Linked DNA regions of Tamandua tetradactyla. The protein of the gene in region 1 purifies or fractionates together with the protein of each later gene. This does not show direct contact. Links are inferred from orthologs where the notes say so. Each region holds a gene or a part of one and is shown in the gene's direction. Other genes may lie near its edges.

Region 1 (6,908 bases):
GCGCTCAGGCCCAGTGTGGTCCTACTAGGGCACTGCAGCCCAGACCAAACCAGAGCACTGTAGACCACTGATGGCCTCCTCCCTCCTGTACAATTTAGAACTGCTGTAGAAATCCTTGGATAGTTTCATTAGGGCGTTTAATATCTAGGGAGGGTTTTTAAAGCAAATAGCCATGTAATTCTTGGGCAAGTTACTTATTCTTTGTCAAGGGGGGATGTATGAGTTAGGGTAATGCTAGCTGCTGTAATAGAAGTTCATTTCTCCCTTATAAAAGAGTCCACTGCAGATGCTCCTGGGTAAGGGAGGCAGGGCTCTGCTCCACACAGTCCTTCAGGAACCCTTCCAAGATCCCCTGGGTATTGGCATCCAGCCAGCGGAAAAGGAAGGAGGAACATGCACTGGAGGATTTCACAGGTCAGGCCTGCAGATGGTGTCACTACATTCTGCCACAATCACATTGCCACACCTATCTGCAAGAAAGGCTGGAAACCATGGTTCATTTGTGCGTCTGTCAAAAAAGAAAACATGGTAACTGTGTGATTGTGAAAACCTTGTGTCTGATGCTCCTTTTATCTAGCGTATGGAGAGATGGATAAAAAATAAACAAATAATGGGGGAACAAAGGTTAAAATAAATTGGGTAGATGGAAATACTAGTTAATGGCCAATGAGAGGGAAGGGTAAGGGGTATGGTATGTATGAGTTTTTTCTTTTTTATTTCTTTTTCTGGAGTGATGCAAATGTTCAAAAAAATGATCATGGTGAAGAATACACAACTATGTGATGATCTCGTGAGCTACTGATTCCAGATATGGAATGTTCGTATGTTAAGAATGTTTGTATATTAGTATGTGTTCTAGTCTGCTAGCTGCCGGAATGCGATAAACCAAAAATAGAATGGCTTTTAAAAGGGGGAATTTAATAAGTTGCAAGTTAACAGTTTTTAGGCTGTGGAAATGTCCCAATTAAAGCAAGTCTACAGAAATGTCGAATCTAAGGCATCCAGGGAAAGATACCTTGGTTCAAGAAGGCCGATGAAGTTCAGGATTTCTCTCTCAAGTGAGAAGGCACATGGTGAACACAGTCAGGGTTTCTCTCTCAGCTGGAAGGGCACATGGTGAACACTGTCATCTGCTAGCTTCCTCTCTAGCTCCCCAGGAGGTGTTTTCCTTCTTCATCTCCAGAAGTCGCTGGCTGGTGGACTCTGCTTCGTGGTTCTGCAGCATTCTCTGCTGTGCCTTTCTCGTGGCTCTGTCATTCTTCTCTGCTCTCTCTCCATCTCCCACGTTCTCCAAAATGCTTCCTCTTTTACAGAATCCCAGTAAACTAATCAAGACCCACCTAGAATGGGTGGAAACACATCTCCACCTAATCCAGTTTAACCACCACTCTTGATTGAGTCACATCTGCATAGAGATCATCTAATTAAAGTTTCCAACATACAGTCCTGAATAGGGATTAGAAGAAACCGTTTCTCCCACAAAATGGGTTAGGATTAAAAAATGGCTTTTCTAGGGTATGTACACCTTTTCAAACTGGCACAGCATGTTAAGTTTTATCAATAAAATTTTAAAAATAATAATGATAAAGAAAACATGAATTTAACAAACAGAGAGCCTGTCTCTGCTACAGGAAATCACATATTACCTTGGACAATTGTCATAAAGATTACAGATGATGTAAGTAAAAAGAGATGAGCATAAAATGCCCAAGCAGAGACTAAATCGTGGGCTGAGGAGGAGTAGTCACAAACAGCAAGGGTTAGGAGGACAGCAGAGCAGACTAACTCATTTTGGGCCAAGGGGTTTGAGTCAGGAAGCTCAGGTAATCATTAGTGCTGTTTCACCAAAAGGTTTAGCTCTCTGCCTTCAAGCCACAGGTGGGAACGCACTTCCTGCCCTACCCAACTCCCAGTGTTGGGTATGTGTTCTACTAGTTCTGACTGAATCTTAATTGCCAGTGTGAAGTTCCCTAGAGGGTTGTCTCCCTTCTGCCAATGACAGCAAACAATATCCCAGAGAGGACCAACTCCATTAGCCTGAATCTTGAAGAAAGAGGGCAGAGCAGAGCTTCTGGGCACCCACGATAAACATGTTATTTTAAGCCACTGAGATTTGTGGGGTTGTATGTTATTGCAGCATGACCTAGCTTATCCTGGCTGATGCTGACACTTTTCTCAGGCAGGAGGCAGCACATGGCCTGTGAGGTAAACAAACAAAAGGGCATTCTTGTGCATTTAGATCATCAGTTCCAAAAACGAAGGAATCATGCTTTTAAAAACATAATTTATACATTATTGCCACAAGTCAAAGAAGTACTTGATGCGCTTATTTAAAATATGAAAAAAAAAATTCAACTTTGAGAGAAGCCCCAGATAATCTCTCTTCCTTAAAAGATCGCCCCAATTTGGAGAAAGTTTAAAGCTACAAAGTGCAAAAAAGGATATAAAGGACATATTAATATCTAATCAACATTCCCTGCCCTCTCTGATATAATCAAAAGTAAGAGAAAAATGAAAATAACAGAGCCTTGGAGGGAATTGTAGACAAATGTCTAAAGCATTTTTATGCAGACAAATCTGGCTACTTGCCTGTCCCATAGGATCTCTAAAGCCGGACCTCGGGGTTAGGGAGGGCCTCCTGCACCACAAGATTCCCTTGTCGGTTGCCTTATGGACCCTCCTGGTTCTGTGGCTGGTGGACCAGCACTGCGCTGTTTCCCTGATGAGTGCAATTCCACGTATTTCATCTCTGATCTCACTCACATCATCCACACTGCAAGATTACTTGAGATAGAAATATGAGGGACCATGACTCTGTTTAATATGTTTCCCTAGAATGAAGTAAGTAAAGGGTACCCCCAGTTCTGCTCACTTCAGCATCATAAGAAGCTCTGATGTTCCTGACGGGCTGGTTGAACTGCCTTAACTAGAAGTCACCAAGCAGACCATCAACTCCTTAGAGGCAAAGCTGTATTTTATTCATCTTGTAAAGCACAGTAATTAGTTAAAAGCCTGCTTTGGATTCAGCCAGATTCTGGTTTGAGTATTGATTCTACCATTTAATAATTGGGCAGCCTTGGCCACTTAACCTCCCTAAGCGTCCTAGTCATAAAATGGGGATAATGATGCCCAACTCCTTTGACTTGTGGAAACTGAACGTGACACTTGTGTGTAAAGCTGTTGATATTGCTCAAAAGTTTTTGTTCAATCCTTGGAAGAAGATCTCCATAACAGCTACAAAAATGTAAATTGTGATTATATCGGGAGTAGTTTAAAAGATAATTTCATTGCCAGAGGCTGCAAATGCCATAAATGTTGGGCCTGAGTAGATAGCATTTAGCTCAAGGGAAGGGATTAGTTTCACTTTATCTACATTGTTTGAATTTTTATACGTATTAAAAATACATGATATCTAAAATAAATACAATCTTTAAAAAAAAAAAGTTGAACTGGCAGCGTGGCTAGCTTATTTGCTGAATCTTTTAGCTTATAGGGATAGCAAGAGCATTGAACAGAAAACACTTATAATCATCCCATGTTAACACTCCCTTTCCACGAGGCCTCTGGGGTAGAAACGAGGCATAATGATCCTCTGTAGTCGCAGCAAATATTTCTTCCGATAAATTTAAACCAGCCTCTGTATTACCCTTGTCTCCAGTAAACCCTTTTGGGAGGGTGGTTCCCGCCCCTCCCTGTCTCCGCGTAATTGGGGGGTGGAGGGAAACTGAGGCGGGGTGGGGCCGGGCCCGGGCCAGGGCCGTTGGGGCGGTTCCGGGGCCCGGAGCGCTCAGGCCGCCGCGGGTCGGCCGGGCGGGGAGCCCCACGCGGTCAGGCCCAGGGGGCGGGCCCGGAGCCGCGGCCTGGCCTGCGCGGCGCCCGCGGCTCCCCTGCAGCTCCCTGAGCGCCGCCATCATGCTGCAGAAGCGGGAGAAGGTGCTGCTCCTGAGAACCTTCCAGGGCCGGACGCTGCGGATCGTGCGGGAGCATTACCTGCGGCCCAGCGTGCCCTGCAGCAGCCCGCTCTGCTCGCAGCCCGCAGCCTGCCGCAACGGTCAGGGGCCGGGGCCGGGGCCGGGGCCGGGGCCGGGGCCGGGGCCGGGGCCGAGGGCCGAGGCGGAGCGCGAGGCCGCGGGGGCCTGAGGCAGACGTCGCGGGGCCTCCGCCCGCGCCCAGGCACCACTTCCAGCCCCGCTGCGGGCCGGAGCGAGAGTCGGGCGGGCTGAGAGCCGCAGAGACGGCCCTGGTAGACTCCTTCCCGAGCTCTAAAAACGGGGCGCCGCTAGCCCCTCGTGAACCCGAAGGGCCGAGAGCCGGGGGTCCTCACAGCGGAGAGGCCGGTGACCTGGCTGCTGGGAGAGGCCGGTGGGCTGTGGCGCGTGTGTGTGACATGGGGAGATCCCGGGAGCGCTCAGCCCTTGCGGGAAAGCCGTGGCCGCGGAGCACACATTTGCCGGTCATTGCTCATCTAACATTCCTTGCTTTGCTCTCTACAAATGCCCCGTCCGGCCAGCCCGGATCCCTCCGACGTCTGTCCGGGGGAGCCTGTTCCCTCTCCGCTGTAGGTTTAGTGAGTGGCGTCGTTGTACGGGAAGGCCGTGGGAAGGTTGCATCTGGACTTCTGTGTGCTAGACCCGGCCCACCTCGATATCTGGGCTGCCAGGGTGGCTGAATTAATGATGAACTGCGGGTTCTCTGGCCTCGGGTGCAAAATGAGTGTGTGGGTCCATCCTCAGTTTTGAGGTTAAAGTGAAGCCCTCAGTGACAGGTTGGCTAACCAGTTCCCTGGAACGTGGGTTGTGCCCAAGCCCTGACACTGCCCACTGCTGCCGCTGAGCATCTTTTCTGGTCAGTTCAATCCTTCCGCCCCTTAGAGACTTTTGAGCTTGTTCCAAAACTTGTAGTAGAACCCATTTGAAATTGTCCCATTTGAATGTGGTCGTACGTCGATGATGAGATGAGACAGAAATATTCAGATTGTGCTGAACATTTGCTTTTTTGAAAAAACAGAATCAGCCATATTCTCCCGCTGCAGAACTGGCAACACCATAAACCAAGCGGCGTGTTTATCACAGCTTCTGGAAAACTGAAGGTGCTGAATTTACCTGCAGTTTGGACCTCAACCAAAGTAGATTTGTCCTTTTTTTTTTTTTTTAACTTCACAGTGTAGTTAAGGTTGGAAGTTATTTTGCACACCAGGGCTCCATGACATTGAAATAGTAATAAACCAGATTTGAAAATGTGGTCTAATCTCTTAACTTTTGAATTATGTTTCAGATGGGAAACTCTTGTCTAGTGATGTGACTCACTATGTGATCCCAGACTGGAAAATTGTTCAAGATTGCCTTGAGATCCTCGAGTTTCCTGAGTTGAAGGGAATTATTTTTATGCAAACGGCTTGTCAAGCTGTGCAGCATCAAAGAGGCCGGAGGTAACTGTTTTGCATTATTTATTTATTTATGGTGAGGATTTCCCCCCCCCACCCCCCCCCCTTAGAAAAGGAGAAGAAAAGGAATTCGTTATTTTGTCAGAAAGGACTTTTTTTTTTTTTTTAACTCATTTGGTATTCTCTTTGCTAGTGAAGAATGCGGTAACATTATTTTATATTTCTGCTTCAACACCTGACCAAAAGATCTAAATGTAGATCAATAAACTGCAGTGTCCCCAGTATGTGGGTATTTAAGATTCTAGTGAGAAAAGGCTTTTGGTGTGCATTTTTATAGTAGCAGGGTTATTATTTATATTTTGTTGATAGTGTTTATTATTTAATCCTGTTTGTAGAGAGATTGTTTCAGAAGCTTACGTTCTTTTTTTGGGAAAAAGAGAGTATGTAAAAATTTTAGACTTCTTTATTGTGGATACAAAGTATACTCGTAATCATTGATTCATTTAAACCAGAAATAACTTGTTTTATTTTTAGATTACTAGTGTAACTATCAATCATAGTTATTGTCTTTGCTAAACAAAGGATTTCTGATTTCTACTGGTCTAAAATACTTGCCTTGTACCTCAGTGAAGACTAATTGTCCACGTTTAAAATAAGGACCCTAAAAAAATGGCTTTGCTTCATTTAACATTGGGAAAGGGTTTACGATTTTAACTTGGAGGCTATATGGAAATAGCATATTAAAATTATATATCCAACCTCTTAACTCCCCAAGTTGTTTAAAAAGCAGAAATCATGTGTTTCTTCTTTTTCAAATGTTATGGTTTCTTCCAACCTTGGTAGTAAAAGATGAAATGTTTTTATTTCTATATGAAAATGATAAATTGTCTTTATTATGTACTCAGTTCAAAAAAATGTGCATTAACAAGGTTGGGTGCAGGTCTTTCAGATAGAATATTTAAAAATGAGCTTGAAGTTGATTTTGCTCAGACACTAAGATATAGATGTTTGTACACATCCAAGTTTAAATGCTGCTCCAGGTGTCATATTTCAATTTCTACTACTAAAATCAATTTGTGGTTATCATTTGAATTGCTAACACACTGCTGAGCCTTTTCAACTCCTGTTTTCTGAAATATTTTTAATATTAAGGATTGTTTTAAAAACCAATTCTTGGGACATTCAGAGGCAACGAGTTGGAATTTAAATGTCTTTTCTCCTAAACATTTCAAAAGTAGTTACGTCAATGAAAAAGTATTGGTTTTCAAGTAGTTTACCGTGTCTCTGAATATTCTAAATGTGAAAACAAAAGATGAGGACTTATGAAACAGGCCCTTACAACACCCTGCTTTTTCCATTTGATAAGCACTTTTTGAGCTCCAAGTTGCAGACCTTAGAAAGTAAAAGAGAACAGTCCCTACTTTGCTCAACAGACCTATTGTCGGGTTGGGGTTAGATGCAAAAAGCAAGAAGATAATCATAAAGCATCTTTGACACATGAAGGATAATATAATATGCACTGTGC
Region 2 (6,716 bases), on another chromosome or scaffold:
TAAAATGGTGCAGCCACTGTTCAAAACCCCAAACCCCCCAGGCACCTTCACATCTCAAGGCCCTTGCTTCAATCAACCTGAGGCGCTTATGGCACATAAAATAACACTTACAGACCCCAGGCAGTAGGCTGCAGGATCATTAGGGCAGCATTATTTGTAACACATGCAGATGTGTCATATGTGATAATTATAGCACAAAGAGGGGAGGGGATGGAGCTATAATGCGGCAAATTTTCTATATCTCACTGGAATTAAGTTTCTATATCTCACAGTGGCTCAGTGGCAGAATTCTCACCTGCCATGCCAGAGACCTAGGTTCGATACCCGGAGTCTGACCATGCCAAAAAAAACAACCAGATTCCATAAATTAAATCATATATTGTAATTCCTAAGACAACAGCTAATAAAATATAGCTAAAATCAATAAAGGAATTAAAATGGCACATTAAAAATACCCATGTAATATGCAATAAAGGAGGATCAGGAACAAAAAAGACAAAATACATAGAGAAAATGAATAGCAAAATGGCCACTGTAAATCCAACCATATTAATAATAACGTTAAATATGAAGGAACCTAAAGATCTAATCACAAGGCAGATTGTCAGACTGGATATATAAACAAGATCCAATCATAGGCTGTGTGCACAACTGTCGGTTTTGTGTCAATTTAGATAGGCGATCCTACCCAGATACTCAAACACTAATCTACGTGTTGCCCTGAAGAAACTTATACTTGTGATCAACAACCACAATCAGCTGACTATGTGTAAAGGAGATTACCCTCCACAATTCTGGTGACCTGATCCAATCAGTTGAAAGGCCTTAAGAGATAAACTGAGGTCCTCCTGAGGAAGGAATTCTGCCTGTATAGTGCATCATTAAATCCTGCCTGGGAGTTTCCTGCCTGCCCTAGGATTTAGCACTTGCCTCATCAGCCTCTGCAATCATGTAAGCCAATTCCCTGCAATACATCTCTCTCTCGTGTATCTCCTACTGGTTCTGTTTACCTGGTGGAACCCCAGCCAAACACACTATCCATACAAGGAACACATTTTAAATTCAGAGATACAAATAGAATGAAACCAAAAGAATGGAAAAAGAAATGCCATGCAAACAGCCATCATAATAAAGCTGGAGTGACCAATGTCAGACAAAACAGACTTTAAGACAGAAAATGTTCCTAGAGAACAAAGAGGGATATTTTATAATGATAAAAGGGTCAGTTCATCAGATACATAATAATTATAAACAATAAAAAACCGTAAATGATGGTTAATGAACCTGAAGAGGAAGCGATGGTTCTCGGACCCTACAAAGACCCTTTCTGTGCACTGACTGGACAATAAACAAATGCATAGCTACCTCTTTTCTAATACTATCTTAAATTTTCACCACTAAGTCACTATACCTCATGTGGCCCCTGAATTTGAATACATTTTCTATCACATTGTTTGCATAAGGGCCCCACAAAGCATCAGCGTGATTCTCCTATTAGATTGGGAATGTATGAAGGTCAGGTTTTGCCCCAAATCTGTCCAAGTGGATCCAAGGGCTCTTGGGCTTTGTGGCTATTTCCCTTGTTCCCCAAAGAACTGGAAGGTGGAAGACGCACACACTGGTTACTTGACCTGTGGAGGTGAGCCTTTATTAGAGGAAGACACACGTAGAAGTGCCTCAAAAATGTTTCTTCCCCACCAGAAGAGTAAGTGAAAGCAATGTCCTAACCCTGGGGAAATTAGAGGCAGGGGTGGTGGTCTCTCTCATATCCTCATCTAATCACCTGTGTAATCCTGAAAACCGAATGGATCATGGCAGACGGCCTGCTGGCCGATGTAAATTTGAGCAGGTGGTAACCCTAATCACAGCTACTGTTTTGAATGTGGTATCTTTACTAGAGCTTATCCACACAACCTCTGTACTTGACATACAGCCACTGGTTTAGTGAATGATTTTTCTTCTTTGCCCTTTAGTAAAGAAACTCAAAGGCTACTCACTTTTCATGGCAGATCTAACATGGACATATCTGGGTGGATGCAGTACGGAGTCTCTGATGAGCCCAGCCCTAGGATTCCAGAGCAAGGCCCTGCCCCCCATAGCAGAGTAGTCTAAATTTAAAAAAGCAGGTGCTCATGCAGACTGCTGGTCTGGCCTGGGACACAAGTGATGGTGAATGCTAACCCTGGCCAGTCTCTGGTCCACCAAGTTACAGGCCAGGCATGTGCAGTCAACATCCAGCCAGCCTCAAAAGAGACGCCTGCAACTACCTGTCTCAAGCAGCTCAGATGTGAACAAATGACTGGCAGGTGGGCCAGTCTCCCATGTAACTTGCCATGCCAACACCCTTTCTTCAATCAACGTTGACCCATGGCCTTCTTCCAGCAGCCAGGTGACAGAGAAGGAAACAACAGATCTGACTCAAAGGTGGGCTAGTGGCAACACAAGCTAACTCACCACCCTCCCCCTGTCTACGTGGGACATGATTCCCAGGGGTGTGGACCTTCCTGGCAATGTGGGACAGAAATCCTAGAATGAGCTGAGACTCAGCATCAAAGGATTGAGAAAAACCCTAGAATGAGCTGCGACTCAGCATCAGGGGATTGAGAAAACCTTCTAGACCAAAAGAGGGAAGAGTGAAATGAGACAAAGTGTCAAAGGCTGAGAAATTCCAAACAGAGTGGAGAGGTTATCTTGGAGGTTATTCTTACGCATTAAGTAGATATCATAACCTTGTTATTCAAGATGTAATGGAGAGGCTGGAGGGAACTGCCTGAAAATGTAGAGCTGTGTTCCAGTAGCCATGTTTCTTGATGATGATTGAATAATGCTAGAGCTTTCACAATGTGACTGTGTGATTGTGAAAACCTTGTGTGTGATGCTCCTTTTATCTACCTTGTCAACAGAGGAGTAGAACATATGGAATAAAAATAAATAATAGGGGGGAAAATGTTAAAATAAATTTAGTTTGAAATGCTAGCAATCAATGAAAGGGAGGGGTAAGGGGTATGGTTTGTATAATTTTTTGTTTTTGTTTTATTTCTTTTTCTGTTGTCTATTTTTCTGAATTGATGCAAATAGTCTAAGAAATGATCATGATGATGCATATGCAACTATATGATGATGTTGTGAATTACTGATTATATATATAGAATGGAATGATCAAAATAGGAATGCTTGCATTCATTTGGTGGGTTTTTTTATATTTAAAAAAATTAAAAAAATTATTAAAAAAAGGTGGGCTAGTGGGACAGATCAGCACTTGTCATGGGTGGCCTGTTGCACGTGGCAGCCCTTCTATATGGGAGGGGGTGGCGCTGAAGGACAGTGGTGAAGGGAAACCTCCCAATGGGCAGAAATGCAAGGTATATTTGGTTATCCACTTGCTATGGACAAGAAGAGGTAGCCTGAGATACACATAGCCACCACCTCCACGGCAGTGGTGAAGAGCTTTGCTGGTTCACCAGGAGCCTGAAGTGAACAAAACTGAACAAGACAGACAAAGAGACAAGCTCCTGATCAAGGGACTGATCTTACAAGCCCCCCATCAGACTAAGGGAATCCAGAGACAGGGCACGCAGAAGGCCCTCCACCCTGCCAGTGGATGTCCACCCCTTGTGGGCCGGCCGCTATTTGTCCGAGCTTGGAAAACAGGCTCACATATTTTTAAAAAAAGAAGAAGGAAAAACAAACTTTATTTCAAACCACCTGCTTTGACTCACTTCCTCTTCTGCGGGGTAGAGCTGGAGTGGGCGTTTGGGGGCTCGTCCCGCGGGGGCTGAGGGGGGAGGATTTGGTCAGGCTCCGGCCAGCGAAGTCGATGCTAGAGACGATTGTTAATCTACTCATGCTGGTGCAGAACTGGCTTCAGAACACACTCGCCGCCCCGTGCGGGGCGTCGACACAGCGAACAGATGAAGTTGGCTAAGGAAGGTTGTTCATCCAAAAAGAAGAAAGGTGGAGCCAGGCTGCCGAGGGTCGGGCCGGAGGTGGGCCGGACGGGGGCACGAGGGGCCAGCGGGCAGACCAGGAGGTGCGGAGCCCCGGGGCCCGCGAGAAGGGCTTTCCGCGACACACCCCCGGGGCAGGAGGGCGGGGACGCGGCTGAGGGATTTCGTCCTCGTCGGGGCTCCCCGCCCCGCCCCGCCCGGGAACCAGCAGCCGCGGGAGACCAGTTTCAAAAGCGCCGCAGCTCCGCCTCCCCATCCCCAGGGTCAAGACCCCCAGCTACCCGGAACCGGAAATGGTGTGTCCGCCCGGAGTTGTAGCTTCCTGGGGCCGGAAGTGGAACCTGCGGCCGCCGGGAGCCGTAGTTCGCTGGGGCCGGAAACGGGTGCCGTAGCTCTCCGCGCCGCGGGGATTTTGGGCGGGCGGCTGTCGGCATGGCAGGGCTGGAGCTACTGTCGGACCAGGGCTACCGCGTGGACGGGCGGCGCGCTGGGGAACTGCGCAAGATCCAGGCGCGGATGGGCGTATTTGCGCAGGCCGACGGGTCCGCCTATATCGAACAGGGCAACACCAAGGCGCTGGCGGTGGTGTACGGGCCTCACGAGGCGAGTGGGCGTGGGAATGCGCGGGCCGGGCAGCTCCCCGGCGGGCACTGGGGCCACGCGGGGCCTCTCGCCCCTCCGCTCCCACGGTGGTCGTCGGCCCCCGTCCCGTGCGGCCTGCACTTCTCCTTGCTGTTGTCTGAGGTGTCGAGTGCTCGCCCTCGGTGGCGTCCGTACTCTCCCGGCTGCACCGCTCCCTCCTTCGCCCCTCTCAGGTCTGCTCCGAAGTCGCCGTCCCAGGGCCGCGTCTTCCCAGACCACCGTCTGCGCGTGGCATATACCCACCCCTGCCAGCATACACTTCCCATCCCCTTCCCTCCCATCGCCTTAGACATCAATTTTGACCTCCTCATCGTTTGTCTCCTCCCCTGGAATGTAATCTCCATAAGAACAGGGACTTTTGTGCCACTTGTTTTATTGCCCTATCGCTAGTGCCAGAACAGTGCCCGCCGTGAAAGCACCGAAGTAATGTCTGCTTAAGCGTGTGAGTCTAGGAGCTCAGCTGCCCTGGCGATGGGATCAGAAACATGAAGGCTGGAGGGGTGGGGACAAGCAAGGCATGTTTGCAGGGCACAAAGGCTGCAGGTGAGGGACAGGGTATAAATTCTAAGTGAGGTTGAGTGGTTTCAAAAGAGGAAAGGACTTGGGATTTTATTTTATGTTTGACGGAAAGCCTTTGAAAGGTAAGCATGAAATGAGTCAGACTTGATATTTGTAAGCATACTCAGGGTCAGGAAGCATGGTAACGGGAAAGCCAATTAAGGCATACACAGCCAGAGAAGACAGTGGCTTAGAAACTGGGGAGTGGCCTTTCCTGGGGGCATGCTTTGGAGGTAATGTAGGTGCTCCTTGCTGAGAGTTGGAGGTGGAGAGAGAGAGCTGAGGTAAGACTGTGAGTCACAGAACAGGATAGTGTGTACTGGGAAGAGGGGGCTGGCTCATGTGCCTTTCCTTCCCCCAGATCCGGGGCTCCCGGGCACGAGCTCTACCTGACAGGGCGCTGGTCAACTGCCAGTACAGTTCGGCCACCTTCAGCACCGGTGAGCGCAAGCGACGGCCACATGGGGACCGCAAGTCCTATGAGATGGGCCTGCAGCTGCGCCAGACCTTCGAGGCAGCCATCCTCACACAGTTGCACCCACGCTCCCAGATTGACATCTATGTCCAAGTGAGCAGGCAACAGCCCTCAGCCTGGATAGGAGGAACAAAGGGTAGGGAGTCAGCAGCCTCATGGACAAATGGCTTTGGTGTCCCTTTGGCAGGTGTTGCAGGCAGATGGCGGGACCTATGCAGCTTGTGTGAATGCAGCCACGCTGGCAGTGCTGGATGCTGGGATACCTATGAGAGACTTTGTGTGTGCCTGTTCAGCTGGGTTTGTGGATGGCACAGCGCTGGCAGACTTGAGCCACGTGGAGGAAGCAGCTGGTGGACCCCAGTTGGCCCTGGCCCTGCTGCCAGCTTCAGGCCAGATTGCGCTGCTGGAGATGGATGCCCGGCTCCATGAGGACCACCTGGAGCAGGTGCTGGAGGCTGGCACTCGGGCTGCCCATGCCGTGCATACGCTGCTGGACCGCGTGGTCCGGCAGCATGTGCAGGAGGCCTCCCTCTTGCTGGGGGACTGACCCCCAGCCATCCCCCAGAATAAAGCCCTGTTCCCCTACCTGGATGTGCCCCAGTGTTTCAATCCCCTGCCTCCTCACAGCACTTCCCTGCCCTGGTGCTGGCTTCTGGAGGTGACCTAGGACCCTCCCCCTTCATAGACACATACCTCTTGGGGTGTCTGGATTGAAGCCCTGAAAAGGAAGATGTAGTTGGGCCAGAAGAGGGGTCCCTGGGTTGAGAGAACAGTGTGTGCCGGGAAGGGGTCAAGGCAGCTTACCTTGGCAGGATGAGCCAGGCCATTAGACCACACAGTCTGTTATCCTCACACCAGCAGATATGGCCCTGGCTTCCAGAGCCCTAAGCACAGGGGCTGAGGGTGAATTCAAGGGGCCTTGGGTATCCACCATGGAGATAGGGGACTTCTCCCATATCCTCTGGACCACAGCTTGGACTGGCTGACCCCCTTCCCCTAGGAGCTCCTGGAGTGCATCTTAACCATTTATTTTGGGCTCCTAAAATACCACAGGCACCCATTCTCAACTGCAGTTTTCTCCCCTCATTTGCCCC

The links.
Region 2: the proteins of DIS3L (region 1) and EXOSC4 purify together in Homo sapiens (affinity purification with mass spectrometry; 5 studies listed by BioGRID and IntAct, with this or other methods). This does not show direct contact. The link is inferred for Tamandua tetradactyla from reciprocal best matches to the Homo sapiens genes DIS3L and EXOSC4.

The regions. Positions count from the first base shown.
Region 1 is NC_135340.1:83,321,608-83,328,515, forward strand, and holds the start of DIS3L (DIS3-like exonuclease 1), read left to right. Parts: upstream 1-3,872; 5' UTR 3,873-3,912; coding exon 3,913-4,051; intron 4,052-4,287; exon of another isoform or gene 4,288-5,089; intron 5,090-5,274; coding exon 5,275-5,428; intron 5,429-6,908. UniProt on the Homo sapiens protein: Catalytic component of the RNA exosome complex which has 3'->5' exoribonuclease activity and participates in a multitude of cellular RNA processing and degradation events.
Region 2 is NC_135332.1:82,575,970-82,582,685, reverse strand, and holds EXOSC4 (exosome complex component RRP41), read left to right. Parts: upstream 1-4,268; 5' UTR 4,269-4,379; coding exon 4,380-4,550; intron 4,551-5,508; coding exon 5,509-5,715; intron 5,716-5,809; coding exon 5,810-6,169; 3' UTR 6,170-6,207; downstream 6,208-6,716. UniProt on the Homo sapiens protein: Non-catalytic component of the RNA exosome complex which has 3'->5' exoribonuclease activity and participates in a multitude of cellular RNA processing and degradation events.